Linked DNA regions of Mus musculus. The protein of the gene in region 5 purifies or fractionates together with the protein of the main gene of each other region. This does not show direct contact. Links are inferred from orthologs where the notes say so. Each region holds a gene or a part of one and is shown on either strand. Other genes may lie near its edges. The genes, in order: Dnajb1, Irf2bp2, Dnajc7, Cep170, Bag2, Tuba1a and Sgta.

Evidence for each region.
Region 1: the proteins of Bag2 (region 5) and Dnajb1 purify together in Homo sapiens (affinity purification with mass spectrometry; 4 studies listed by BioGRID and IntAct, with this or other methods). This does not show direct contact. The link is inferred for Mus musculus from reciprocal best matches to the Homo sapiens genes BAG2 and DNAJB1.
Region 2: the proteins of Bag2 (region 5) and Irf2bp2 purify together in Homo sapiens (affinity purification with mass spectrometry; 3 studies listed by BioGRID and IntAct, with this or other methods). This does not show direct contact. The link is inferred for Mus musculus from reciprocal best matches to the Homo sapiens genes BAG2 and IRF2BP2.
Region 3: the proteins of Bag2 (region 5) and Dnajc7 purify together in Homo sapiens (affinity purification with mass spectrometry; 7 studies listed by BioGRID and IntAct, with this or other methods). This does not show direct contact. The link is inferred for Mus musculus from reciprocal best matches to the Homo sapiens genes BAG2 and DNAJC7.
Region 4: the proteins of Bag2 (region 5) and Cep170 purify together in Homo sapiens (affinity purification with mass spectrometry; 3 studies listed by BioGRID and IntAct, with this or other methods). This does not show direct contact. The link is inferred for Mus musculus from reciprocal best matches to the Homo sapiens genes BAG2 and CEP170.
Region 6: the proteins of Bag2 (region 5) and Tuba1a purify together in Homo sapiens (affinity purification with mass spectrometry; 4 studies listed by BioGRID and IntAct, with this or other methods). This does not show direct contact. The link is inferred for Mus musculus from reciprocal best matches to the Homo sapiens genes BAG2 and TUBA1A.
Region 7: the proteins of Bag2 (region 5) and Sgta purify together in Homo sapiens (affinity purification with mass spectrometry; 3 studies listed by BioGRID and IntAct, with this or other methods). This does not show direct contact. The link is inferred for Mus musculus from reciprocal best matches to the Homo sapiens genes BAG2 and SGTA.

What each region holds. Positions count from the first base shown.
Region 1 is NC_000074.6:83,607,005-83,610,974, reverse strand, and holds the start of Dnajb1 (dnaJ homolog subfamily B member 1), read right to left. Parts: upstream 2,801-3,970; 5' UTR 2,644-2,800; coding exon 2,433-2,643; intron 2,428-2,432; exon of another isoform or gene 2,215-2,427; intron 1,162-2,214; coding exon 581-1,161; intron 387-580; coding exon 156-386; 3' UTR 1-155. UniProt on the Homo sapiens protein: Interacts with HSP70 and can stimulate its ATPase activity. Stimulates the association between HSC70 and HIP. Negatively regulates heat shock-induced HSF1 transcriptional activity during the attenuation and recovery phase period of the heat shock response.
Region 2 is NC_000074.6:126,591,187-126,595,309, reverse strand, and holds the start of Irf2bp2 (interferon regulatory factor 2-binding protein 2), read left to right. Parts: upstream 1-1,323; 5' UTR 1,324-1,873; coding exon 1,874-2,870; intron 2,871-3,481; coding exon 3,482-4,123. UniProt on the Homo sapiens protein: Acts as a transcriptional corepressor in a IRF2-dependent manner; this repression is not mediated by histone deacetylase activities. Represses the NFAT1-dependent transactivation of NFAT-responsive promoters.
Region 3 is NC_000077.6:100,616,805-100,620,966, forward strand, and holds the start of Dnajc7 (dnaJ homolog subfamily C member 7), read right to left. Parts: upstream 2,801-4,162; coding exon 2,724-2,800; exon of another isoform or gene 2,377-2,723; intron 1-2,376. UniProt on the Homo sapiens protein: Acts as a co-chaperone regulating the molecular chaperones HSP70 and HSP90 in folding of steroid receptors, such as the glucocorticoid receptor and the progesterone receptor.
Region 4 is NC_000067.6:176,804,325-176,808,433, forward strand, and holds the start of Cep170 (centrosomal protein of 170 kDa), read right to left. Parts: upstream 2,801-4,109; 5' UTR 2,675-2,800; intron 1-2,674.
Region 5 is NC_000067.6:33,747,751-33,751,250, reverse strand, and holds part of Bag2 (BAG family molecular chaperone regulator 2), read left to right. Parts: intron 1-2,924; coding exon 2,925-3,034; intron 3,035-3,500. UniProt on the Homo sapiens protein: Co-chaperone for HSP70 and HSC70 chaperone proteins. Acts as a nucleotide-exchange factor (NEF) promoting the release of ADP from the HSP70 and HSC70 proteins thereby triggering client/substrate protein release.
Region 6 is NC_000081.6:98,950,702-98,954,858, reverse strand, and holds the start of Tuba1a (tubulin alpha-1A chain), read left to right. Parts: upstream 1-1,357; 5' UTR 1,358-1,405; coding exon 1,406-1,408; intron 1,409-3,167; coding exon 3,168-3,390; intron 3,391-3,522; coding exon 3,523-3,671; intron 3,672-3,844; coding exon 3,845-4,157. UniProt on the Homo sapiens protein: Tubulin is the major constituent of microtubules, a cylinder consisting of laterally associated linear protofilaments composed of alpha- and beta-tubulin heterodimers.
Region 7 is NC_000076.6:81,050,272-81,053,771, forward strand, and holds part of Sgta (small glutamine-rich tetratricopeptide repeat-containing protein alpha), read right to left. Parts: intron 1,981-3,500; 5' UTR 1,945-1,980; coding exon 1,845-1,944; intron 1,059-1,844; coding exon 952-1,058; intron 816-951; coding exon of another isoform or gene 813-815; coding exon 728-812; intron 80-727; exon of another isoform or gene 1-79. UniProt on the Homo sapiens protein: Co-chaperone that binds misfolded and hydrophobic patches-containing client proteins in the cytosol. Mediates their targeting to the endoplasmic reticulum but also regulates their sorting to the proteasome when targeting fails.

The DNA.
Region 1 (3,970 bases), on a different chromosome or scaffold from region 5:
GTGCGCGACTTTGAAAGATTGTAATATATTCTGTGGAAAACATTCGGCAGAGCAAAAGCCCTCCCTGGGCCCTCCCGCAGTATGCAACCAGTGGAACGGTCTGGAGATCTGCAGCTCTGAAAGCCCCTGGCTCAGTCCTTGAGGAGTGCAGGTGGCTATATGGGAAGAACCTGCTCCAGGATGGTTCTGGATGAGACGGGAATCCTTTCCGGGAAGATCACTTCAAACTCGATAACAAGGTCTCCACGTTTCTCAGGTGTTTTGGGGAGAGGGAGGCCTTCTCCAGGGACTTTCCGCCGCATACCAGGCCTGATGACATCTTTGAATACAACAGGGATGGTCCTGCCGTCCAGAGTAGGGACATTCACAGTGCAACCACAGAGAGCCTAGGGAAGCAAAAGGACAGTGTCAGGCAGTGGCTGGCTTAGGAGCTTCACTCCTCCAGACCGTCCGGAGAAGGGTCAGGTCTACCAGACCAGGCCCGCTGACACCCCACTCCAAAGCCCCCCCAACCCCACAACCCATTATTCTCACAGCAGCCATCTCTTTTTATGACTCCTCCACCCACCTAGCACCTTACCTCCCGAAGGCTAATCCTGGCTGGATAGATGACATCAGAACCATCTCTCTTGAAGATATTGTGTGGCTTGTCCTTTAAAACAAAGACGATGTCTGCTGGAATGTTGTTCGAGGTCTGGTCCCCTTCCTTGGGAAAGGTGATTTTGGTCCCTTCTTTCCAGCCCCTCTTCACTTCGATGGTCAGGATCTTATCTTCATTTCGAATGCTCTTTCCATCAGGGTTCAGCCGCTTGTGGGAGATTTTCATCTTCTTGGTACAGCCGCTGTAGATCTCTTCAAGGGAGACCCGAAGGTCATGGGTGACTGGAGGATCTTGCTTCTTCCGGGTGGGCTCTTGAGAAGGGCGGGAACGTCCAAAGTTCATGTTGGTGAAGCCACCCATACCCATTGGAAAGCTAGAGAATGTGTCATCAATGTCCATGCCTTCTTCCCCGTTGCGCTGCCCAAAAAAGGTATCAAAGGGGTTTCTGCCACCGAAGAACTCAGCAAACATGGCATGGGGGTCTCCGTGGAATGTGTAGCTGAAAGAGGTACCATTAGCACCACCACTGCTTCCTCCACTGGGGCTACCACCCTTCAGGCCTGGAAACCAAAACCACAAGTCAGGGTTACTGCTGGAGAGTCAGCCCCACCTCCCTCCACCCCCAACACTTCAACACACTTATAAAACATAAAACCCCTGAAACAAAGAGCTCAGAACCCCAGCACTCTCAAGACAAGTGCAGACTGATCTCTGCAAGTTCCAGACAAGCCAGAGCTCCACCATGAGGTGCTGGAGAAATGGCTCAGAGCACTGGCTCATCTGGCAGAAGAACCAAGTTCAATTTCCAACACCTACATAGCAGCAGACCATGGTCTAACTCTAGTTCCGGGACCTTTAATGCCCTCTTCTCTAGAAGCATGTGAATGGTATACACATATACACGGAGGCACACGCTCAAATAAATTGAAAAACAAAGTTCCAGCAACAGTGAGGTCCTGTCTCAAATAAATGGTCACATTTTGTTCCTTTTGCATGTATTACTGTCAATGCCACGTAACACACAAACTTTCGTCCAGAGTAGCCTCAAGGCAATCCTCCTGACTCAAATACCCCAGAGGGGGGATTGTCACAACATCCGGTTCCTTTGGAAACAGGAGCTTATTACCCTGTAGCTCTGATTTGAAGCAAATTCACAGCGTTCCTAATTCGGTTTCCCATGTGGAGGTGTGAGCCCCCGCACTCTGCTCAACAAGTTTTGCTCTTAGTAAAAAGGCCACAGGAACTATAGCGGGAGGGATTTTATGTATATATTAAAAAGCTTGTTAGTCAAGGACGAATCTCAAGTCTTTTAACTCCCAATGGCAATAGGAGCAAGAAACACACTACTCCGTTTTACTTCCTGACAACATATTCGGTAGTAAGGCCTCTAGATCTCGGTGCGACCAGGTTTACGTGACTGCTCCATCCTCCCAGCTATGCTGTTACCATCTTACAGAGAAGCTCCTACGCACTGTTACCAAAAAGGCTCAACCCTGGGTGAGCGAACACTGAGCTTGCGGCTAGGAAAGAGAATCAATACTCGGGCAATTTTCATTCCCATCGCGACCGCCGCCCTCCATCTGCACCATTCCGGCGCTGTGCAGGCGACCGACCGGGAGGGGCTGCGGCAGACGTGCTAGAAGCTTCTGTGCCAGCGGCGCGCCCAGAGCTCCTCCTCCTGTCTGAGGCCGCGGATCAGAGGGTGAAGGAGGCGGCGCCGCCGCTAGATCCCCGGAATGCCTGTCCCCGGCCGAGGTCTTGGAGAGGCTCCGAGTGCCTCGGTTTCCCCGCCTGTCAAACGGCGGGTCACCCCGGCCGCGCGCACACGTACCTTCCTCTCCATAGCGGTCGAAAATCTCGCGCTTGCGCGGGTCGCTGAGCACGTCGTAGGCCTCGGCGATCTCCTTGAACTTCTCCTCAGCGCCGGGCTCCTTGTTCTTGTCCGGGTGGTAGCGCAGCGCCTGGCGGCGGTAGGCTCGCTTGATCTCGTCGTCGGACGCGCCGCGGGCCAGGCCCAGCGTCTGATAGTAGTCCTTGCCCATGGCCACCGCCGCCCAGCTGTCGCCGCCTCCGGCTCCGCTGCTGCCCCGTCCCGGACTCTATATACCCGTCCGGCGGAAGCTTCCAGATCCCGCCAGCCCTCCAGAACCTTCCGCCCCTCCCGATGCGCCGCACGACACCGGCCAATCGCTGCGGCCCGCTCCGTGACGCAGCACATCCGGGGTGGGACCCGGCTGCCAACGGCTTTCCGCGCGGGGCCACGCCCCTTCCCTCTCTACTCTGGTCAACGCCTTCCTCGGGCGCGCGCGCCGGCTGCTGGGGTTCCGCCTCCGTAGCGGATCCAGCCAATCGCAACCCTCTCTCTCTCTGCGGACAGGTGGAGGCGCGAAGAGGGGCGGGGCTACAGAGACGGGCCTCTCCGAAAGGCCGCACCCTTTCCCCCAGGTTATCGCCGGCTGGGAGGTTCTGCTGCGTGACTTGTGGTAGCTACCTGACAAGTACCTCTAAGCTTTCCTGCTCTAACCCAGGGATAAAAATAGGCACCCCGCCCTCTTCTGCCCGTAGCCCTTGGTTTTTCCCGTAAGGCCGTTACTGTAAAGCGAGGTGAGACTGGTCTGCCTTGGGCTTGCTGCAGTCGGGCTGCCTCTCCGGTTTATCTTACTTCCTACTAATTCCTACTGGGTTTAGCTCGCCTCTTGGCGTTCTGATACTTGTCACTTCCTTTGCCGTCTGAGTTTACCACCAGGGCTGCGTGATTTTTTTAAAGATCCACTGGGTGCTTCGTAAATATTTCCAAATACTTTGATATAGTATAGCTTTTTGCTTTTGGTTTTGTAAGTCTGGGATGATGGCGGTCAAGGACGGAGCTGAGTGAGGAAGAGGAGAGAGCTTCAGATATTGGAAGGCATAGAGAAGCTGGAATAGTCATTGGTGGTTCTTGCAGGGAATGGGACTGCCTGAAAGTGCATGAAAGACTGACTCTCATCCTAGCACTTTCTGGCTGTGTGACCTTGGGTTGGTAGAGTAGCTTTTCTGGTCTCAGTGTGGTCATCTGTACAAAGGGAATGGTCGTGGAATATGGTGAAGTTGACATTATTCTGCATTTGTTAAAGACAAGGGACAAAGGGTGTTCTTGAAAGAGATGATTAATCATCTTGTTTAGTGGACAACTGTTGACATTCCCTTTCTGGAAGCTCTGTAGGAGGAGAGTCAGATAACCCTTGCCCTAGGCACCCCTGAGAAAAATGACTTTAGCCTTCCGTTAATGGTATAGCTGTGTGTGGTGTATGTGTTTTGATTTTCCTAACTGTACTGACCCCATGAAAACCGAACCAGTTGAGCCCTGCCCCCCGCCTCCCCATGGATTTG
Region 2 (4,123 bases), on a different chromosome or scaffold from region 5:
TGTTTCCTCTTGTGGCTATTCTTTGAAGCAACCTGGCATTTTTCAATAGCAGCCACCGGAGAAAAAAAGGTCAGCAGATTTTTCCCCCCTCCCTTTCCACCTTCCAATCCAGTTGTAGGAAAGCTAATGTACTTAGTACCCTGCTCTTCCCACACTTAACCAGCCCATTCCAATCTTGGGGAGAGAGGTGGACCTGCGTTGTTCACCACAAAAGCAAAAGCGGCTCTTACTCAGAGTAGTAGGTCTCAAATCAGAGCCTGACTGACCGACCACTGACAGCACACACCAGTCCCTGCTCCCTACCAAAGTGTACAATTCGGTGTTCCGTCCACTCTGGGCAGCCCTCACTGCCCAGCGTGGAAGGGAACAACGAAGCGATGCTGCCAGGCGCGTCTGTGCCCACTGGGCTAAGCCGGATGGTACAACAGACAGCCAAGTCCACCCGCCAGCGCACGCCCTAGGCGCAAAGGGGACAGCGCGCGCCCAGAGTTGGCCACTCGAAGTTCGGCCCCGCGGAGGCGGTGGGGCAGGGCCTACTAGCCAGAGACCGGGGGCGGGTCCTGAGCCGTGACGCGGTGCGCTGCAGAGCCCAGATCCCTGGAATGTGCACTAGCTCGGCGCGGCCCCAGGGCCCGCGGCGCTGGGCACGTCTTATGTGGAGTTTGCGCAGTGGCAGCGTCCCTTGCCCACGTCACGCGCTCGCTGCACAGACCTACATAAGACGCTGGGCGGCGGCGCCTGAGGAGCCTCGGGCCTGTGCGTCCTCCTTTCAGTGCACGCGCAAAAGAGGCCGGGCCTGCCTGAGCACTAAGTTTTTGTAAAACTTAAAGGGGCAGCGGCAGTGTGTAGTTGCTTCCTCGACCAAAACAGGGCAGAGTGTTGATAGCGTGCGCGCGCCCAGCTGAAGCCAAGTGAGACGCTAACAAGGAAAAGTCCAAAGTGCGCCTCGCTATGCTCCAAATTCCATGCTCAGGAGGCTGCCAGTAACCAAGTGATAAAGTGGCATTGCATGTAAAATAAAACAGTTTGCACGATTTAATCGAAAGAACAGGGCCATGGGTTGGAGCATCCTGGCTGGGTAGGCGGGGTGACACGGGACTCTTGGGGACGCGAGCTGCACACCTGCGGCGCTAGGGCCGCGTGAACTGGTCTGCGCCTCAGTCCCGGCGCGCACGCGATCGAGAAACGGAAGAATCCAGGGTGGCGCGCGAGAGAGCGCAGAGGGAGGGAGGGAGGGAAGGAGGGCGGGCGCACGGGGCCGCGCGCGCCAGGGAGGGAGGGGGCCGCGCAGGCGCCGTGCAGAGCTGTCGAAGAATCAAGTCTGTAGAAGTGGAGCGGCCGCGGCGGTAGCAGCAGCAACAGCGGCGGCGCAGGAGCTGAGGCGCAGTGGGTGCTGTGCAGCGGCCGCGCCGGGGCCCGGGACCGAGCTGCACGCCGCCGCGCGCGGCATGCCCCGCCGCTCGGGCTGAGCTGCCCCGGCGGCTGCCCCGCGTCCCCCGTACCTCGCGCGGCTCTGCGCCCCGGGCGCCAGCGCGACCTGCTGCGCTCGCGGCCCGTCTTTGCCCCGGTCTGGAGGCCCCAGCCCGCGGCCCCGGCCGAGCCGCCGCCCCCGCGCGCGCCGCGCCGCCCCGCCGCCCGTGGGGACCTGCAGGCGCGCCCCGCCGCGCGCCCGCCGCCCCTCGTGCCCCGGGGGCGCCGCGCGGGCGCCGCGCCGGCCCGGGCTCTGCCGCCGCCGCCTCCTCGCCTGCGGCCGCCGCCGCCGCTAGTCGCGCAGACGCGGGCTTGGGCCGGCCGGCGCGCGCGCGCGGGATCCACGGGGGGCGGCGGCGTCCCCTCACCCGGCTCCTCCTGCGGCGCGGCGGGCTGTGCGGACATGGCCGCGGCGGTGGCGGTGGCGGCCGCCTCTCGGCGCCAGTCGTGCTATCTGTGTGACCTGCCCCGCATGCCCTGGGCCATGATCTGGGACTTCACGGAGCCCGTGTGCCGCGGCTGCGTCAACTACGAGGGAGCCGACCGCGTGGAGTTCGTCATCGAGACGGCCCGCCAGCTGAAGCGTGCTCACGGCTGCTTCCCGGAGGGCCGCTCCCCGACCGGTGCACAGCCCGCAGCCGCCAAGCCACCGCCACTGTCGGCCAAGGACCTACTGCTGCAGCCGCCGCCGCAGCTGGGCCACGCGGGCGCCGAGGCCGCGCGCGCTCAGGCTATGGAGCGCTACCCGCTGGCGCCGGATCGTGCCCCGCGCCTGGCCTCCGACTTCAGCACGCGTGCGGGTGCAGGCCTCCCACAGTCGGCCGCGCAGCAGTCCGCGCCGGCGAACGGCATCCTGGTGCCCAACGGGTTCTCCAAACTGGAGGAGCCGCCGGAGCTGAATCGCCAGAGCCCGAACCCTCGGCGTGCACACGCCGTTCCGCCCACTCTGGTGCCTCTGGTCAACGGTTCTGCCGCGCTGGGGTTGAGCGGCCGTGCTGCGGCCACACTGGCCGCGGTGAGCGGAACACCGGGCCTGGGAGCTCAGCCCGCCGAGTTGGGCACCCACAAACGCCCGGCGTCTGTGTCGAGCGCGGCGGCGGAGCACGAGGCGCGCGAGCCGAGCAAGGAGAAGGCGCAGCCCGCGCACCGGAGTCCGGCCGACAGCTTATCCAGCGCGGCCGGGGCCAGCGAGCTGAGCGCCGAGGGTGCAGGCAAAGGCCGCGCGCCCGGGGAGCAGGACTGGGCCAGCAGGCCTAAGACGGTGCGGGACACGCTCCTGGCGCTGCACCAGCACGGCCACTCGGGGCCCTTCGAGAGCAAGTTCAAGAAGGAGCCGGCTCTGACTGCAGCAGGCAGGTTGTTGGGTTTCGAGGCCAACGGGGCCAACGGGTCTAAAGCAGGTAGGGGCGACTGCGGGGCGAGGGGAGAAGGGATGGAGGGCGTGGGGTTAGAGGCAGCGTTTGAGCGCCCGCCCACCCGTGTGTGTGTGTGTGTGTGTGTGTGTGTGCGCGCGCGCGCGTGCGTGTGTGCGCGTGGGTGGGTGGGTGGGTGGGTGGGTGGTAGGGATCCATTCTTCCATGCACAGTTTTGCCTTAATCCAGAAACAACAAACAGCCAACTTCCTGGTCGGCCCGGGGCTGAACCAGAGCTTAGTGGCAACGTGGTCCCTCTGCTGAACCAGCACAACAGGGATGAGTCAGAACGGGTTGATAGGCAGCGACACGGGGTTTTCCTTTCCCAGCACATTCTTGGATGGAAGCGTGAGGGCAGCAGTCACCCTTTAACCTGTCTGCTAAATGCAGTCACATGAGCTGGTCTGGGGTTGGAGCCTTTCAGGCAGGATCCCATGACTTGGCTTACCTTGGAGGTGGTGTGCAGGCTCAGAGCCCTTTATTAGGGGAAATGTTTGAAGCTGCGTGCAGAACTATGTGTGTTTTTGAAGATGAGAGCTGTCTCTTTGGGGGTACGTTAAAGTTAATCTTCCTTTTCTTCCATACCTGTCTCTTTCCAGTTGCAAGGACAGCAAGGAAAAGGAAGCCTTCCCCAGAACCGGAAGGGGAAGTCGGGCCCCCTAAGATCAATGGTGAGACACAGCCTTGGCTGTCCACTTCCACAGAAGGGCTCAAGATCCCCATCACCCCTACATCCTCTTTTGTGTCTCCACCACCCCCTACTGCCTCTCCTCATTCCAACCGGACCACACCGCCTGAAGCGGCCCAGAATGGCCAGTCCCCAATGGCAGCCCTGATTTTAGTAGCAGACAATGCCGGGGGCAGTCACGCCTCAAAAGATGCCACCCAGGTTCACTCCACCACCAGGAGGAACAGCAGCAGCCCGCCCTCTCCCTCCTCTATGAACCAAAGAAGGCTTGGCCCCAGAGAGGTGGGGGGCCAGGCCACCGGCAGCACCGGAGGACTGGAGCCGGTGCACCCTGCCAGCCTCCCAGACTCCTCTCTGGCAGCCAGCGCCCCCCTGTGCTGCACCCTCTGCCACGAGCGGCTGGAGGATACTCACTTTGTGCAGTGCCCGTCTGTCCCTTCGCACAAGTTCTGTTTCCCTTGCTCCAGACAAAGCATTAAACAGCAGGGCGCTAGCGGAGAGGTCTATTGCCCAAGTGGAGAGAAGTGTCCTCTGGTGGGCTCCAATGTCCCCT
Region 3 (4,162 bases), on a different chromosome or scaffold from region 5:
ACGTCTGTTAAGAATGCATTTTTCTTTCTTTCTTTCTTTCTTTCTTTCTTTCTTTCTTTCTTTCTTTCTTTCTTTCTTTCTTTCTTTCTTTCTTTCTTTTTTTTTTTTGTCCCGAGACAGGATTTCTCTGTGTAGCCCTGGCTGTCCTGGCACTCACTTTGTAGACCAGGCTGGCCTTGAACTCAGAAATCTGCTGACCTCTGCCTCCTAAGTGCTAAATGGGATTAAAGGCGTGTGCCACCACCGCCCAGCAAGAATGCATTTTTCAGCCGGGCGTGGTAGCGGAGGCAGAGGCAGGCAGATTTCTAAATTCAAGGCCAGCCTGGTCTACAAAGTGAGTGCCAGGACAGCCAGGGCTACACAGAGAAACCCTGTCTCGAACCCCCCCCCCCCAAAAAAAAAGAATGCAATTTTCACTTTTATTTACAGTTATACTGACTTGGTAGTAGATAACTGCTTGTTTGTTTGTTTGTTTGTTTGTGCCTTGATGTTTTGCTTGCATGTATGTCTATGAGAGCCAGACCCTCTGGAACTAGAGTTACAAACAGTTGTGAGCTGCCATGTGGGTGCTGGAAATTGAACCCAGGTCCTCTGGAAAAGTTGTCAATGCTCTTAACCACTGAGCCACCTCTCCAGTCCCAATAACTATTTTATAATCAATAACATTAAATTCCACAAAAAAAAAAAAAAATCAGTTAACCAAATACCATGCTTTACATGATGTGGCTGCATTGTAACACTATTTGTTTTCCTGTTTTATGTTCTCGCTCTCTCTCTCACACACACACACACACACACACACACACACACACACACACATACACACACACCCCTGCCTAGCCTAAAACTGTGGATATCTGGCTGCCCTTGACCTTGTCCGATTGCCGCTGCCTCCAAGTGCTGGATTATGGTGAGCACCACGTCTAGCTTCTTTTTATAAAACCCAGACTGATGAATTCCAGCTCTTTCTGCCTTTGACTCCCAAGTGCAAGGATTACAGATGTGTGCTACCATACTCAGCCTTTGTTTAATATATCTGTCCATAAACATTTATGACCATTTATGACAAAATACCCTCTAAAGCTAATCTGGTCTTTTAAGGAGGAGTTGCTTTAGAGAGGGGACACAGAAGTTAGCCTAGTGTAACCGGTGCACACCTTTAGTCCAGCACTTGGGAGGCAGAGGCAGATGAACGGTTCTCTATGAGTTCAAGACTGGCTGGTCTACATAGAGACCTGTTTCAAGTCCGAATCAGTGACACTCTCTACAGGAGATTTACACTTGAGTAGGATAGATTCCTCAAATGACATATAGCCAAAGTCCCTATTTATAGCAGTAAGAAGCACTAAATTCTTTCCAAATATAAGTAAAATAAAATGTAAGCTCTGTTTGTGTTAGCGAGGGGCTTCCGTTCTCATTTGGCAATACCTTAAGTTATATAGGAGCGGATGATGCTTAACTCCAGACACTGTAATGACATGGAAACTCAAACAGGAGGAGGAGGAGGCAAGGCTAAACTTGATAGCTCTTGATCAACTACACTTTGTCTAGCATCTCAGCTTTCAAGTCAGGTACTACCATACACCTGATGACTACAATATTCCCCGTATCTCTCCGAGTACCGCTTATAAGTCTAACTTGGACAGTAAACCCCTCAGAATCCTGATTTCTAGACCTCCTGAACTGACTCTGTTCAAATTATTCAGCCTGAAGACATTCCCTACAGGCTTGGTATGAACATGAACCACAAGGGAAGGAGAGTAAGGGGACTGTAGTCCATCCTAAGAAAAGGATCAAATTAATCATGCTACTGATAAAAGAATCAGTTCACCTTTGGTATCAGAACAAGTCCCGCCCGCTCCCAAGCGTACTCTAACCCCCCCACCCCACCCCACCCCACCCCGCTTTGAAAACCCGTTCTTAAGCTGGTGTCGGAATTCACCAAGTGTTCGAGAAAAACCACTCACTCAGCACCTCCCTAGGCTAGGCCAGACTAGCAATCCCGAGCCACTGCAGCTGCCCAGCAGTGCCAACTGCATTTAAACAGCTGTTCTCCTTGAGCTTAAGAATGCTCTTGGGAGGAATGGCGAAGAAGCGTCTGCCCCCGTACTGCAAGAGACAAGCTCCTCATTCGCCCTTCTGTCTATCCATTCTTAACTTCTACGGCTATCGGGGAGTGGGGGGCGACCAGGTCCATACAGTGAGCATCCAATTCTCTCAGCCTCACACTAGAGACCACTAAGGGTCATTAGTGAGGAAAGGGAAGTGAGGAGGAGAATGCGGGCTTCGGAGACGACCAGTCAGGACGGGCAACAATGCACACAAGTTAACCAGAGCGGGCGGAGGTCGGGGCTCTGTTAAGGAAGTCGTCATTGTCGCCGCGACGCCTCCCCCACTCTGCAGCCGACCTCTGGGGTTCCTACCCTTCCCCCCGCCCCCGCCCGGGAACCCGGCCTCCACGATGAAGTCCACCTTCCTCCCCGCGGCAGAACAAGACCATGCCTCAAGCTCCCTGCTAGGCGGAAGCAGAAGGGGACAGCAGACCCCCTAAGTGTACCCCTTCAGAGGGATCTCGGTCGACTCCAGCTCAGATGGGGGCGGGGGGTGTCTGCAGGAGAGCCATCGTCTCTGCATCTGGGGGCTGCCTCGCTGGCGGGTCCACCTGCCCCAAGCCACGAGCTGCAAGCTCGTCTCCTCCATGACTCTACCACCCGGTTGGTTACCTCTTGGCGTCTTCGTCCTCCAGCAGTTCAGGCTCGGTCGCCGCCATTACCACATCGCACTCCGCGGTAGCCGCCATCTTACCGCCGGGACCAGAGAGCCGGGTGGGAGGCAGACGGTGTAGAGCACTTCCGGTCGGAGCATCGAGCCGCTCGGCGGCGCCGCGCCCAGAGGGACTCCCTCGAGCCCGTCTACCAACGAGAGGCTCCGCTTGGGGCCAGAGCGGCCTTCCATCCCTGGAGGTCCACGGTGGTCTCCGCGCTGGGGCGGGGGCCCAGGGACGGTTCCTGTGCGTAGGGGGCGCCACTTTACCCGTGAATAGGAGGAGGGTACAGAAGGAGGTTGCCTCTCTGGGCCTAAGCTTGCCTCAGTATCCCTACAGCCCGGTTGCCATAACAACTAGCAATCCTAGAGAGCCTCCGGTAACGCTTGGGAGTCCCTGGTGGGTGGAGACGGGGTCCCCAAGACACTTGAGGAAGAAAAGCCCCCCCCAAGACTACCTTCCTGACTTTGCAGTGTGTCCACAGCTTCCTCCCTGGAAAGGCATGAAGAGCTACTTTGAGCCCAATCCCCAGCTTCATCAGTTCCTGGAAGCCCTGCCCAACCAAGCGAGGGGAACGCAGGGCGTCTTCACCCTGCTCCTTTCATCCTCCACGGATCTCTAAGCACCAACTGGTTCATCACCCCAATGACGCGGACCCTTTTATGAGGCTGCTTTCATGTCAGCCGCTTGGGAGTGCCATCTCAGCGTTAAGCCTAGAAAGGATGACATGGCGCGCCAGCCCCTGCCCCGGAGTTTATAAGGCAGCTCATGGGGTGAGGTCCCTTTTCCTCAGTGTCCCCTGTACTCCTACTTCTCATAAACTCTACCCAGCACGCTTGTCTGGCCAGATGTTGTCTGGATTGGGAAGACAGCATAATTATCTTTGTAGTACCACTACCACACACAACAGTGTTGGATTAAATTGAGGCCCTCTGAGGTTAAATGTGGGGAGGAGACGACCTTGAAATTGTAATTTAAAGCCAAAAGGAACGAAAATAAGACAATGGAATTTAAATTTCCCTTAAGGAAAGTGTGTGTCAAAGTCCCTAACCTTATTTGTAGGTCCTTATCATTACTGACGGAGTGGAAACTACCTGGGCCACTGGATAGAGAATGATAGCTGGACCTCAGTGAATTGAAATGCTGTGACCCTTTAATATGGTTCCTCCTGTCATGGTGATCCCCAGCCGTAAAATTATTTTTTGTTGCTACTTTGTAGCTATAAATTTTCTACTCTTATGAATTGTAATGTAAATATTTTTGGAGATAGAGGTTTGCCAAAAAAAGTCATGACCCACACAGGTTGAGAACCACTGCCTTAATTAACGAATTTAATTTTTCACCCATTTTTCAACAACGGGGGGGGGGGAAACAATTTTTTTCTTCCTTCCTGAATTT
Region 4 (4,109 bases), about 140 Mb from region 5:
ATGATGATGATGATGATGAGATGCAGCCTTTGGGAGGGAGCAGAATCAGTACTCATACAAAAGACACAGAAACTAAGAAGGAGCTTCTTGCTCATCTATCCCATTGCACACTTAGTTGATGCTATCTCTAAGGAAAAGACCTTCAGCAGATATTTAACTTGCTAAAACTTTAAAAGTAGCCCTTGGAGTTTTCACAACTATAAGACATAGGGCTGTAGGCAAGCCTTTTCTTAATTACTAATTGATGGGGAAGGGTCCAACTCATTGTAGCTTGTGCCATTCCTGGGCTGTGGTCCTGATTCCATAAGAAAGCAGGCTGAGCGAGTCAGGAAGCTGCACCCCACTACCTCGTGGCCTAAGCATCCACTCCTCCCTCCAGGTTCCTGACTGGACCACACATGCTTTAGTCAGGGTGTCTCGTCATAATAGTAAAAAACCTTAACTAAGGCACTGACAAAAGCATATACAGTTTTTGTAGTTATTTTCCTATGGCTTCCACTTTATTTTTAAGAAAAAATTCTCAATATCCCCCTGCACAATCCCCTGGTGCTACTGATCAAAGCCAAACCTAACTGCCCACACATGCTAGGCAGTATCTATACTGAACTACATTCCCAGTGTTTCAATTCAGATTTTATATAGTGGCATAGAAGTTTATTTTACCAACCTGTAATTTATTTAAATTGGTTTTAAAATTGTAAACATTAAAATGGACATTTCTCACAGATCTGTGTGGAAATCACTGTTTTCCCTTGGTTTGAAAGAGATATATCAGATCTGATGCAAATACAAATGCAGAATTCTAAAACTCACACTAATTTCAAAATGAGATTTTTTTCCTCACTCCCGTGCTTATACAAATATTTTATAATTTTTCTAACTTGATAAAAATATTTAAAAAAATTAGTGACAAAGTCTAAGATAGAATCGTGCCAAATTAAACAAGACTAGGCAAGACTATGTGACAGAGATAATAATAGCTGGTGAATTATCAAAGTGTGTGCTTTTTGACTCAGAGCTTTTAGAAATTTTAAAATATGTAACAATTATATTTAAATCTGTAAAAAAAATAAGTAGCCTTCACTTTGCAATGTGTTAGCTGTACAATTAGGAGGATTTCTCTTGAGCAACCACAGCAAATAACACTAAAGTCCTCAATATATATATACATATACATATATATATATATATATGGACATATACAAACACATATTCCCAAGGGTTCCAAACTCATGGATCCAAGAAACTCAGATGAAAAATACTGGAAGGAGAGAATAATTATGCCTGTTTTAAACATACACAGATATTTTCACTTGCCATCATTCCTCAAGTGATAGAGAACATTAAGCATTTGTGGAATACTGCATTGTATTAGGCACTGTAAGTAACACAAAGATAATTTAGATAATGTACATAGGAGGATCAATCAGAGATGGCTCAGTGGGGAAAGGCACTAGCTGCCCAGCCTGATGGCCTGAGCTAGTCCCTGGAACTCACACAGTGGAAGGAATGAACTGACTCCTCCGAGATATCCTTTGGCCTCCTCTTGTGTAGCATATCATGTACACAAATAATTGTAGCTTTTTTCTAAGTATTTAAGAAGATGTCAATAGGTTATATACAAATACTATTCCAATTTTATTTAAAGGTCTCAAGCACTGGAAGATTTTATTCTACTTAGATACCAAGGGATAACTGCCTTGTGTGTGCTCTGCTATTCTGTGGACAAAAGATGGGGCTTCTCATATGCTAAGCACAGAGTCTCGCACTGAGCTATACCCTCAGCTCTTATATTTTTAAATTACAGTTCCACAGGAAGTCTGTTTCCAATGTGTTTTCCACCAAATTATTTTATACTTTATGCCTCTTTCCTATGATTGGCTCAAATCAGATTTCTAGATGTTTGCCTGGAATGCAAGATTCCTTCCTATTTAAGCTCTGAGGCTTGAATGTGTGATGTGTTATTCCATATAACATATAACATATAATAAACATTTAATGCTGTAGTGTTTGGAGTCTACAGTTATCACAAACTTAACAACATCAATGCCTTTCTTGGTGCTGAAATAAATAAATAAATAAATATGCACATATATATATTTCTCAAGTAATTAAATTTGATACAGTGACTGGACACTCTTACCTCCAAAATTCCTTTCTTCCCTTGGTTTCTGGGGTACCACACAATTTGATCCCTTCCAGTTTACTGGTAGTGTTTTAATTTTAAGAATCCATAAATCTCCTCCTCAGAATTTGTGTCATGCATCCCATTACCCACTTGATATGTTTACTTAGATGTTCAAAAGGAGATTCCTAGCTTTTACAGAAACTCTTGATTCTGTAAAGCCAGACATGGACAACTTTCACCATCACCATCACAGTACTTCAAGTACAGTTGCTTATATCACTCCAATTAATTCTTAGCTCATTTTATTTCCATACTTGCACCCCTGTCACTGCTACATATAAAACAATCCTTTCAAAGTCCTCAATAAATTCCCACGGTACTTAAATAACATCAACCAATAAAAGCTCCATCCCATTTTAATTCCTCCTCCTCTTCCCTTCTCTCACTCATCTCCAGTCACAGTGGCCTCATTGTTCTCAAATTCACTTATCCCATTCCTTGCAGAACCACACTGCATATGAGAATATTCTCTACCCAGATACCTACGTGTGTCTTCCCCCACTTCTACTGGAATGTTAAATATCGGGGTGGGGTGGTGAGCACTGTTTCTGAAGACTCATTTCTCAAACACTCAGAAGTAACAGCATTCAAGATACAGTGAGTGTGCAGTGAGCCTCTCTTTCCTGCCAAAGATGGAAGGAGGGTTAAGATTATTATTTGTAACTGTTTGAATTGAGATACATAATATATAATAAAGGTGCTTCACTGCATTAGCAAAACTGGTAATTCAGTATTTACAAAACAGTGGTAGGAAGGAATTTACACACCATTTAAAAACATTGAACCACTTGAACCATTTGTATGTACTTACAGATTGAAAATCAAAAAGGAAAGTCTACCATCCCTCACTCTCTAATTTGATTAATTTTATTCACTTTCTTTTGCCTTCTCTTCTGTCAACCGGCTTAGGATTTATCAATGCTATTTGTAAAAATTCTGCCAACTTTTCATGATTAATTCTGCAGCTATGGTCTAAACACAGTTGTAGTGAAACCACTGTCCTCATTTAAGCCCATGCTGTAGTGTTTGGAGTCTACAGTTGTCACAAACTTAACAGCAATGCCTTTCTTGGTGCTGATAAATTCTGCTTCATAGCACTTTTCCTTACTCAACTTTATTATCATATAGTGATATCACTCATATCTTCAAAACTCCTAGTCTCATTCAATTCCTTTGTTAATCAAGGAAAAGAGAAAAGTAACCAAACTACAAATAATTTTCATTACCTTTGTATCACTTCTCCACCCCCAGCACATTTTATGTGGCACTGATTCTATTTATAAATCTGGATGGTTTTATCCTTGGCTATGACAATTACTCAGACAGGATGAAGACATTAGAGATGTTTATTGAATTTATAAATGTTCAAAAGCCAGGAAGGGAAGCTAATCCCTTACATGAGAAGATAGAATCATCATTCAAGAAAACGTCAATGAATTTGTACTATAGTCACATTAAAACAGATAAAACTGAGTAGACAGTAAGGGTAAATCATTGCTTCAGAAATATCACCCATGTTATAAATGAAGTATGAGACTAGTAAATATACATAAGGATATTTATATAGACTGCATCAGTAATTTTCAGACAAAAAATTTCAGAAAACAAAATGAGAACCAATATAAGGGTGCTGTTTCTAATGGTTAAAAACAATAAAAACTACAACTAGTATCAAAGAAAACTTATGACTTATTAAGAATATCAGTTCATAAGAAAGAGTACTTTAATATTAGGAAAGCAGTACAGAATTTCACCCTCTATTACAAGAATGTAACTTTCAAGAACCATGATTCCCCTCCCCTGGATGTCTCAGAACAGAAAAACATTACTGTTGCTAAGGACATGACACAACGTCAGACTGCAAACAAACAAAAAAGGACAGGGCTTTAAATAAGCAATAGGTATACAGCCAGACTATAAC
Region 5 (3,500 bases):
GAGCTAATAAGAGGTTGGTGAACCAGTTCTCTCCCTGGCTAGTGGTCTGGTTTGAATGCCTGCCCATGGCCTCACCTCTAGGGTCATCTGTCACTGTTTCTCTACAAAAGCTGGGAATGTGGTCACTGTAACCTGTAAGAAAAGTGACCTGGAAACAGAAATCTCTTAAATGGGTGAGATTTTTTTCTTTTTCCTTTCCTTTCCTTTCCCTTTCCTTTCCCTTTCCTTTCCCTTTCCTTTCCCTTTCCTTTCCTTTAGGTTTTTTTGAGACAGGGTTTCTCTGTATAACCCTGGCTGTCCTGGAACTCACTCTGTAGACCAGGCTGGCCTCGAACTCAGAAATCTACCTGCCTCTGCCTCCCGAGTGCTGGGATTAAAGGCGTACACCACCATGCCCGGCTTTCTTTTGCTTCTCATGAGTCAAACACCCTAGGTTTGTTCTCAGTGTGCAGTAATAGTAATTATGCTTTTGTGTGTGTGTGTGTGTGTGTGTGATAGTGTCCTATGTGACAATCAGGGTTTTATACCAAAATCTTTAAGAGGCTTTCCCTTTAAATTTGGGAAAAGGCAAAACCCCATCCCTGCAACTGTCTAGTACAGACCTAGAAGACAGCAGTCAATGCTGTAAAGAGACAACAATTGTATTAAAGACACAAAGGTTTCTAAAAGATGGTATGATCATCTAGGAAGAAATGATAGATGGGGCAGGTAGCCGTTAGACTTTAATGCCATTGATACGGCCAGCTGCAAGCTGAGCCAGCAGAAACAGCATGTCTCCAGCAGTAATAACTGACCGAAATGTAATTACAATTTTCTGCAACGAAACCCACAAGTTCTCTAGAGCACTCAGAAATCCATAAGGCTTCAGTGAAGAATATTTAAAAGCTAATAAAGAATCTATAAAACTGAAGAAAATGAGGGCTCAGTGGTTAGGAGCACTGACTGCTCTTCCAGAGGTTCTGAGTTCAATTCCCAGCAACCACATGGTGGCTCACAACCATCTGTAATGGGATCTGATGACTTCTTCTGGTGTGTCTGAAGAGAGCAACAGTGTACTTATGTACATTAAATAAGTAAATCTTAAGAAAAAAAACTGAGCCGGGCGTGGTGGCGCACGCCTTTAATCCCAGCACTCGGGAGGCAGAAGCAGGCGGATTTCTGAGTTCGAGGCCAGCCTGGTCTACAGAATGAGTTCCAGGACAGCCAGGGCTATAAAGAGAAACCCTGTCTCGAAAAACCAAAAAAAAAAAAAAAAAAAAAAAAAAAAAAAAAAAAAAAAACCAAGAAAAAAAACTGAAGAAAACAAGATATAAATTAAATTACATTGTCAAAAAGTATGTCAAATCACGCCCCCCCCCCCATTTTTTAAAGAAATCAAACTTGTACAGTTTATGTGGTGGGATAAATATCTATGTTATCTTTACAGAATAACCATTGGGGGGGGGGGAGGCCATTCTGCCAATTATTACATGGGACAGAGCCTGTGATGCTGTAAGGCAGGTGTGGGGTGAGGGTAGCCAGTTTAATCACAGGAGAGATTTAAAAGGTGCACTTTGTATAGGTAGCACAGGATCTGATGTAATGTCAGAGTCTATTTCGGTGGACTTAACAAATAAATACCAGGAAGGTAAAACTATAAATAGGACATGGGAAAATATTATGACCAGAATATGAGAAAAGCAACTTAAAACTTCAAAAGTATAAGCCACACACAAAGCCACGGCAGACTGAAAACATCGTTCAGGAATCATAGGCAGGAAGGCCAGCCTGCATTATGCCGGGAAATCCTGTTGCAAAATAATAGCAGTAATAACAGCAGCAGCAGCAGAGTTTGAGAGGTGGCTCAGTGGTGAAGAGCACTGACCGCCACTGTAGAGGGTCTGGTTTGGTTCCCAGCATCTATCCCAACCATCTGTAACCCCAGTTCCAGGGGAGTGAGCGCCCTCTTCTGCCCTCTGCGGGCACGTGCACAACGCACTCAGATGCAGCCAAAGCACTCAGGCACATAACAGCAAACCTGTAAGTAAATCGAGGCTCCCTTAGCCGGATAGGCTAACACATGCGGGCTATCCCAGGGGCTTGCGGCTGAAACAGAGCACAGGGCCACCCTGGGTAATAGAGTTCTGGGAGCGGGGTGGTGGTGGTGGTGGTGGTATCTCTTCGGTGAGGGCCAACTTCAACAAAGCTCACAGGACAGATGATTACAGATTATCGTGTCTGACCAGTAAGGAGTCAATGTGTTGAACACGCAGACTCCAGCTAAGTCACTGAAGTGAGTGTGAGTGGCCGTCTCTGAGGGGTCAGAGTGAAGAGAAGCAGAAGTTCTACACAGGACAGCGCAGCACTGAGCCCCAGGAACCGGGAGGTTCTGAAGAGTAAGCCGGGAAGAGATCGAGAGAGGGACCCAGAGGGGGGGGGGGCTACAAATTCAAAATCCAAGTGTACTAATAGAGAGTTTTTAAAGAACAAATCCATGTAAATGAGCATGGAGTCTAACGCTGCCCCGAGCAGGAAACAGCCGAGCACACAGGGGCCAGAGAGAGTGGCTGCTGCCTGCTGCCTAAGCACCGAGGCAGGAGGATTGCTGCGAGTTCTAGGCCTGCCTTTGACAGAACAGTAACACCCAGGGAAGAAACTGTTTGAAAGTAATGCCATTCACTTGTTTTCTTTCTGAGACAAGGTTTCTCTGTGTAGCCCTGGCTGCCCTAGAATTCTCTTCGTAGACTGGGGTGGCCCCCAAACTCGGAGGTCTACCTTCCTGGGATTAAAGACGAGAGTTCTCTCACCTTGGCAACTAAGAAATACATTTTAAAAAGTGTCCTTGCTGTCCTTTAAACTTGAGCTGATTGAGATGGCAGCCGAGGACAATTACCAGGAAGGACACTGTCCCTATAACAACTGTTTTGTTTTGCCAATTCACACAGGGTGGAAGCTTTGAGAGACGCAGCTACTGCTGTTGAGCAGGAGAAAGAAATCCTTCTGGAGATGATCCACAGTATCCAAAACAGCCAGGACATGAGGCAGATTAGCGATGGTGAGAGCTGTTTCCAGAGGGGCGCCTTGGAGGCCTAGGGAGTCTGGGCTGGCGTGAGTCAGGGCTTGCCTGACCCCGTTCAGCAGTAACAGCAGCTGGGGTGCACCTGCAGCTGTGGGTCCGCTGTCCGTCGGTCCGCTGTCTGTCGGTGGTCTTCCTTTCAGTGCTCCCCTAACACTGGCAGGGATGGTGGGAGAAGCCGTGTGAGCGCCAGCAGGGTGGGCAGGTAGTACAGCCCTGCAGCTCACCTCAGAAACAGTTTTTTTTTACAAGGTCCTGACTGCAGGTACAGTAAAAGCAGAGGGCCTAGGTAAAAGTAGAGACTAATAGAGATGATCTGAGGCAGAGCCGGCAAGTGCATTGTCGCGGTCATCTGAGCAGTATGACAGCCCGGAGACAGTGGGCTAGAGAGCTGCGGAGATAAGCAGCTGAACTCCCAGATCCAAAATGCTTTCCATCAACAATG
Region 6 (4,157 bases), on a different chromosome or scaffold from region 5:
AAGGACCACAGTCTCTGGCTGAGCAGCCTTGGGGAGAGCAGCTACAGTTCCCACAGTCAGAAGCCCAGCTGCGGAAGGGGCTATTTACAGAATTCAGGGAACTACATAAAACTGCAGCAGGGCTGGCACTGCACAGTTGTCTGGGGATGAAAACATCACAAAATGGTTTCCTTTTATATTATAAAACGCTCCTCTTTTTAATTTGGCATCTCAGTTATTTTTTACTTGATATCACCCCTCCCCCTCCAAAAAAAAAAAAAAGACTGGAGAAATACAAGCCCACACAAAGAGCTAGTTTTTAAACTCAATTCTTTCTCCTTACAGTTTCTGAATTCCATATTAGAAAGGATGGCTCATTTCTAGGGACAAAATAACACAGGCTCTGGGGTGAGGTAGGGTGGGGTAGGGGGGCGGGCACGGAGGGGTGATGGGAGAGAATTACAGCTAAAGAAAGAAAGCTCTCTAGTATTAAGTACTACTTTGTATATTATTTCTCTCTTCTCTTCTTTCTTTCTTTCTTTCTTTCTTTCTTTCTTTCTTTCTTTTTCTTTTGGTTTTTGAGACAGGATATCACACTATATATCCAGGGTGGGCACAAATTAGCTGCAATCCCCGGCTTCCCAGTGCTGGGATACACAGGAATAAACCACTAAGGCCAGTTAAGATGACCTTGAGCTGCAAGTCTTCCTGCCTCTGACTCCCAGGTGCTGTTGAGGTCACAGGCGTGGTCTACTCGTACTGACTTTTGCTCAAATAATAATAAAGAATAACAATAATACAATAACTATGAAACTAAACATTCAGCCACGCCTTTTTGACCACCCCCGTATCTTCTGCTACTTTTTAAAGCAAATAGAGATGTTGAATTCTGACAGAACGTAATTAAATTCAGTATATTAAAAATGAAAAGCTGGAATTTTCCAAAAAGATTCTAAACATAAATTCTGTGATTAAGTGTTGGGAAAAACCTTAGATGATTTTTAAATACAGTTTAAGGTTTAAACTACGTATAATCATCCAACCCCAGTTTTCTTTCTTCCCTTTCCACCCCTCCCCAACTCCACCCCATAATGGATGCTCGGCTAGCTGCCTTTGCACGGCCTTTGTCTGAAGGATGCAAAGTCTACGGATGCTAGGGGGAAGGGGTGGGGGAGAGATTACCTCATACCATGTCGCTTGCACCAATCACCACTCTCCTGTCGCGGCTTCTCTGGGCAGACAGAGGGGTCTGGACCAACAGGAAAAGGCCCTGGCCCATCCCCATGGTGACAGAGCTGTATATAAGGAGCCGCATCCGCCCAAGTGCCGCAGGTTCTCTTACATCGACCGCCTAAGAGTCGCGCTGTAAGAAGCAACACCTCCTCCTCGCCTCCGCCATCCACCCGGCAGCCGCGAAGCAGCAACCATGGTGAGCAAGCCTTCCCCGGCTCTCGGTAGATAGAGGGTGGGTGTCAGTCGCCCCAGATCTGCAAGGAAACGTCTAAGGCTTTGGTCACCTCTGCGGGGAAAGGGTGGTCTCCATGCTTTAAGTTTATCTTAGTCTTTGAGTCCCGCCGCCGCAGTGCGGGACACGGAAACGCCCAGACCGGGAAGAACAAAGGCAGCGCCGATGAGCTAGCGCTGGCAGAGCCAGGGACTGCAGGGGACCACGGGGACCGCCGGGGACGGGTGGGGGATCGAGGGTCCGCTGCTGTAGGAGGGCAGGGGCGGCGGCCGAGCCCGAACTCCAGAAACACCGCCCCACTTCGCTAGGAAAATGTTTAGTTTGCGTCGGATCCATGGCAGCCGCTGTCAGGGAGGCGCAGGGGCGGGGTTGTTTGTCTCTTGCTTCCGTGGCGTTTTGGGAGGGGTTGGTTCTCACTAAGCCTCTTCCGAGCGGTTTTTTTTTTTTTAATTATTTTTATTTTTACTTTAAAAAAAATCGTTGTGGAACTGTAGTCATGGGATGTTTCGTCTGCAGGGCTGTCAAAAATACGATTTGCTTAACGGGGACATCTCGCTGAGGGGGGAGGGGAGCTGGATGGTTGGGGAATGACAAAGCCCACTTTGTGAATCCTAGAGTACGCTGATGGTCAGAACCCAGGGAAACGCCCTTCCCCGCCCCCCACCCCCGCAGACAATGAAAGTAGTCCCTCCACAACAGACGTGTATCTCTATAGAATGAAATATTAGTGGTATGTAGAGATTCATAGGATAAAAATATTATTTTCTACTTTTAAATTTAGCTATCTTTTCACTTGTTTTTTTAAAAAATGTTGGCGCTCATTGTTTCTAACTTAGCCTGCTTTAAGAATATTTCCATTCCATACAGTGGAAAACCTTCAAAAAACAATGGATTTTCTGCAAAGAAAAAAATTATACTCTGCACCCAACCATCTTTTGTTCTAATAAATGTGCACTAATTCATTAATTCAGGCTAATGGCCCCAGCCAGGGTTAGGAGGGACCATGAAAGCAGCACAAAGAGATCGCATAGACAGCTGCTGGAAATAGAGCTTTCTCTGTTAAATAATGTAACAGCACAGGCTAGCACCAGGCACAGAGAACGTGGCAATGCAGAAATCAGACTTTGTCTAGCTTGTCGACTAGCCAAAGTACTGATGGGGTCTGTCTGCAGAAGGGTGTGGCTCCTGGCCTCAGCCGCACTGCAGATGTCAGTGTTGAAATAGAAGGTCCTATAGTGTGAGACTCTTTATTATGTAGCCTAGCCAGAGTACTGATGGGGTCCACAGAAGGGTGTGGCTGTTGGCCCCAGCCGCACTGCAGATGTCCATGATGAAATACCAGGTCCTATAGGATGAAAACTTCATCCTTACTTATCGGGTAAAGAAGCAATTAGTATTATTATGGATAATTATTTTGTTTTACAGAATCTATGCTTTAAATATTTTTCAAATATGAAAGCTGTTCTATTCAAGCAAGGCTTTGGAAACAATGGGTTTGCACCATGTCTTAAGCAGTATTAAGGTGACATCTAGGCCACACCCACTTTTGGTGTTTGTAGTGAGTACTCCTCATTGTTCCTGTTATTAGGGATGTGACTCCAAATAAATTTCAACAATATTTCTATTTTTAGAAACACTTTAGAAATCTATTAAGATCTAAAATAGAAATACAGCTTAATATTATAACAGCTTAATTTTATAATTTTTTTCCCTCTTTCCACAGCGTGAGTGCATCTCCATCCATGTTGGCCAGGCTGGTGTCCAGATCGGCAATGCCTGCTGGGAGCTCTACTGCCTGGAACATGGCATCCAGCCTGATGGCCAGATGCCAAGTGACAAGACCATTGGGGGAGGAGATGACTCCTTCAACACCTTCTTCAGTGAGACAGGAGCTGGCAAGCATGTGCCCCGGGCAGTGTTCGTAGACCTGGAACCCACGGTCATCGGTAAGCTGGCTGGGGGCTTCCCCAGGCATTCCTTCTTGGTCACATACTCAGAATCTCTCTCCAGACCCAGAAGGGTGAGTGAGCTTGTGTGTGTCCTCGGTGGCCGATGGCTGACGTCTTCTCCCTTTGCAGATGAAGTTCGCACCGGCACCTACCGCCAGCTCTTCCACCCTGAGCAGCTCATCACAGGCAAGGAGGATGCTGCCAATAACTATGCTCGTGGCCACTACACCATTGGCAAGGAGATCATTGACCTTGTCCTGGACAGGATTCGCAAGCTGGTAAATGCCATATATGGATGGGTTTAAAATGCAGTGGGAGGGTGTCTTGGTATCTGTCAGAATCTGTCAAGTCTTTTCTATCAAGCAAATATGGCTCCCAATCTAAAGGAATTGCAAATAGTGCTAAGAGTATGCCCTCCTAATAAAACATTACATTTCCTTTTCTCCCACAGGCTGACCAGTGCACAGGTCTCCAGGGCTTCTTGGTTTTCCACAGCTTTGGCGGGGGAACTGGCTCTGGCTTCACCTCCCTGCTGATGGAGCGGCTCTCTGTGGATTACGGAAAGAAGTCCAAGCTGGAGTTCTCCATTTACCCAGCCCCCCAGGTTTCCACTGCTGTGGTTGAGCCCTACAATTCCATCCTCACCACCCACACCACCCTGGAGCACTCTGATTGTGCCTTCATGGTAGACAATGAGGCCATCTATGATATCTGTCGTAGAAACCTCGACATTGAGCGCCCAACCTACACTAACCTAAACAGGT
Region 7 (3,500 bases), on a different chromosome or scaffold from region 5:
CCCATGCAGAGCCATGGACAGGGAGGGTCAGCCTGGGTTAAATGCCAAGACCACCTGCCTTCTGGGAGCCACACGTGGCCTGCAATCAAGACCAGGAGTCTGCCTGAGCGCGTGGGTTGGGTGTTTCCTGAGCTGCGTCATCCACACAGGCCATGAAGCTTTATTTTCCTCGGCTTCGGTGTTTTGAGACAGGGTCTCACTATGTAGTCTTTCCTGTCCTGGAACTTGCTCTGCAGACTAGGCTGGCCTCAATCTCACAAAGACCCATCTGCCTATGCCTCCCAAGTGCTGGGATTAAAGGTTTGAGCCACCAAACCAGGATCTTTTAATTTTTAAAAATATTTTTTGTTTTGTTTTGGGGACAAAGTTTTATGATGTAGTTCTGGGTGGCCTAAATGTACCATGTGGACTGGGCTTGTCTTGAACTCACAGAGATTTGCCTAAGTCTGCCACTTTAAAGCATAAATATATATTATTCTGAGTGGGGGATATGTGTGTGTATGTGTGTAGGTGCAGTGCCCACAGACACCAAAAGAGGGCACTAGATGCCCCAAACCTGGGCTTAGAACCAGCCCTGAGCTAGCTGCCTGAGAGTGCAGGAAGCCTCTAACTGCCACACCATCTCTTCAGCTCCCCAGCCCCGCCCCCGCCAATGGGACCTGGCTGATCTGGGCTGCATCCCTACAGCACTTTGCACAGACCCCATGGGGACATCTGTCTCCCTCACCTTCCGTTTTGAGGCGCTCTGCCTCAGCTGAGTCCTCTTCAGAGGGTGGTGTCCTGTCAGGGGCCCGCGGGTCCTGTGGCATCTCCTGCTGGGGGTGAAACAATCTCACTGTACCCTGCCACACCTGCCCTTGCAGGATGCCACACAGCTCAGAGCGCTGTCAAGCCTCAGCACAGAACGGCACACTGCCATCGTGGGCACAGTCAAGGGAAGCCCAGGCTCACCTTGCTGGAAGTGGCTGCTTCAAATATCTCTGGCAGGGTCTGGGGGAGAGCAAGGTCACTGTCCTCCAGCGTCACCCCGAAGGCTGTCTCCAGACACTGGATGGCAACTGTGCAGGATATGAGATAAGCCAGTCTCACTGGAGCTCATGGGAGGCCCCACCTCACTGGAGCCCACAGGAAGCTCTGACATCTTCCATTTTTCTTGCGATAGACTCTCATGTAAGCCCAGGGTACCCTTGAACTCTCTACATAGGCAAGCATGTCCAAGAAACCCTGATCCACCTGCACCCACTTCCTGGGTGCAGGGATAAAAGGTGAGCACGACCATACCTGGTTTGAGCCGGGACTTCACACGAGCTGGGCAAGTGCTCTTCCCAGCAGGCCCCAGCACAGCCCTAGTGAGTCTCCAAACGCCTTAACACCTGGCCCTGTACCTCAGTCCTTCTCAGTCCCCTGCAGTCAGCCTCTCAGACACACATGCTCACTGGTCTGCCCCTGCTATGCTGACAGTAAGAGGGCAGACACATGGGGCCTGAGGTGGTGTGTCCTTTGGGGTTACAATGCAGGGGTTGGCTCTGACCTGGACTATCAGCACAAGCCACTGTGGAGAGGTTAGTGTCCCTGTGGCCTGGGGCAGCCTCCTTTCTGCAAACTGGTATCCACACTGTGGATCTGCAATTCCTGGAGACAAACTGCCAGGCTGCAGGAAAGCTGGCTACGACAGCAAGCAAATAACTCAAGCTTCCAGAAGCCTCTTAAACAGACCAGATGTAACAGGCCCCTCACACACATAAGCAGGAAGGACGGCTCTCAGCTTCAGAAGCCGCCTGCCTCCTGCATCTGTGGCATCCTGAGCCCTAGCAGAGGCTGGCAGGGCAGCAGCCCACACTCACCCTCTAGGCTCTCCTGGGCGTCACACGAGAGCCCACCGTGCCGCAACTGGCCATGGAGGAACTGGATGATGGCATAGGCCAGGCGCTTCCTGTTGTCCATCTCGAGACTAGTGAGGTGACACTGCTTGCTCAGGATCTGTGGGAACAGCACAAAGTACTAGGTGAGGAGCCAGAGATGGAGGAGATCTGTCCTTGACTCATGGGTCCCAGACCCGACCACTACCAGAGTCCAGGAGAACTGGTCTGTTCCAGTGTTAGGGCCACCGTGCAGAGCCTTTCTTCCTCCCCCATGACAGGTGGGGATAGCCTGGGCATGGAACCACAGACCTGTCTGCCACAGTGCTAGGGAGAAGGGCATGCCTTGAGCTGACAGTGTTGCCTCAGGGCACTCTTTTCCTCAATTTACCCTTTTGCAGCATACCAGCCAGTCAGTGCCACAGTGCACGATGAGCAGGGCTATATTCTGGGATCCCAAGGTTTTGAGGACACCAGCTCCTCGATCCACCCTATACCCAAAGCTTGGAGGTGCTGCAGCTCACAGCCCTGGTCTGCAAGGTGCACTATGTGGTGACACAAGGACAGTTCTGGACTCTAGAGGGACAGTTGACGGTGGCTCTCCTGACCACGTCAGAGTGACTTCAGCCCAGGGAACTTTCAGAGGCAGCAGGTGAGTCAGAGTGGGCACAGTGTCAAGGCCGCATCCCTGAGCCTCAGAGGGAGCCATGAGGGGTGGACTGGCACTGACAGACACTCTCAGAGAGTGTTTAGACCCCTGTACAACAGCAGACACCACAGGACAGAGTTGAGAGAAGGCAGAAAGAAAGACACCTGGAAGCTCGAACCATGCCAGTTCAGATTTGTGGCCTCTCTAGTCTAGACAGAAGAAATTGGCCTAAAGTTTTGGCACCTAGCATGCGATCACATGACAGCCACCATAGCCCTGCATGTAATGGAGAGGCCAGCATGCATGGGACTCTCAAAGACAATAGTGAGAGGCTGTGGACCTCTGCTCCACGCCAGAGCCCAGTTGTGGTGCCTGTTAAGTAGAGTTGAAGAACTTCACAGCCACCCAAGGGGACAGCCCAGCTCAGCACCCCATCCTGAGTTCCCCTGGAGGCAGACGTGAAGCCAGCAGTATTCACAGGTGCTGGGTAAGATTCTGGAATGGAGGTGGTGATGTGAGGCACATCCTTCCGTGTCCCATGCTCCCTGTGCCTGTCCCTCCCCCATGCACGGCAGGCCACCTCCGCCATTCCCTTTGTCCTGAGCACCCTGGAATGGAGGAGTTGTGGTGGGGTGTTGGCCAATCACCAATAGACATGCTTGTGTGACCCAGGCACCCTGGCTTGAGGACATGCATGCCAACTGCACCAGTTACTACCACTTTGCCATGCTTTCAGCCCCTCACCTAGCACCTAAGAACATTCTAGAAAGCAGCCTTGGACCAATACCTGAGAGCAGCAGAATCCGATCTCAAGCTAACACACATTAAGAAAGCATTATGGAGGGCTGCTCCCAGGCTGGTACCCACGGCCGTGGATCCCACAAGCAGACCATATCACCTGCCACACAGTGTCCCCTAAGCTTCTTAACAGAGACCCCGAACCCCAGAGACCTTTGGAGACAGAGTCTTCACAGAGGTGACCAGATGGGTCT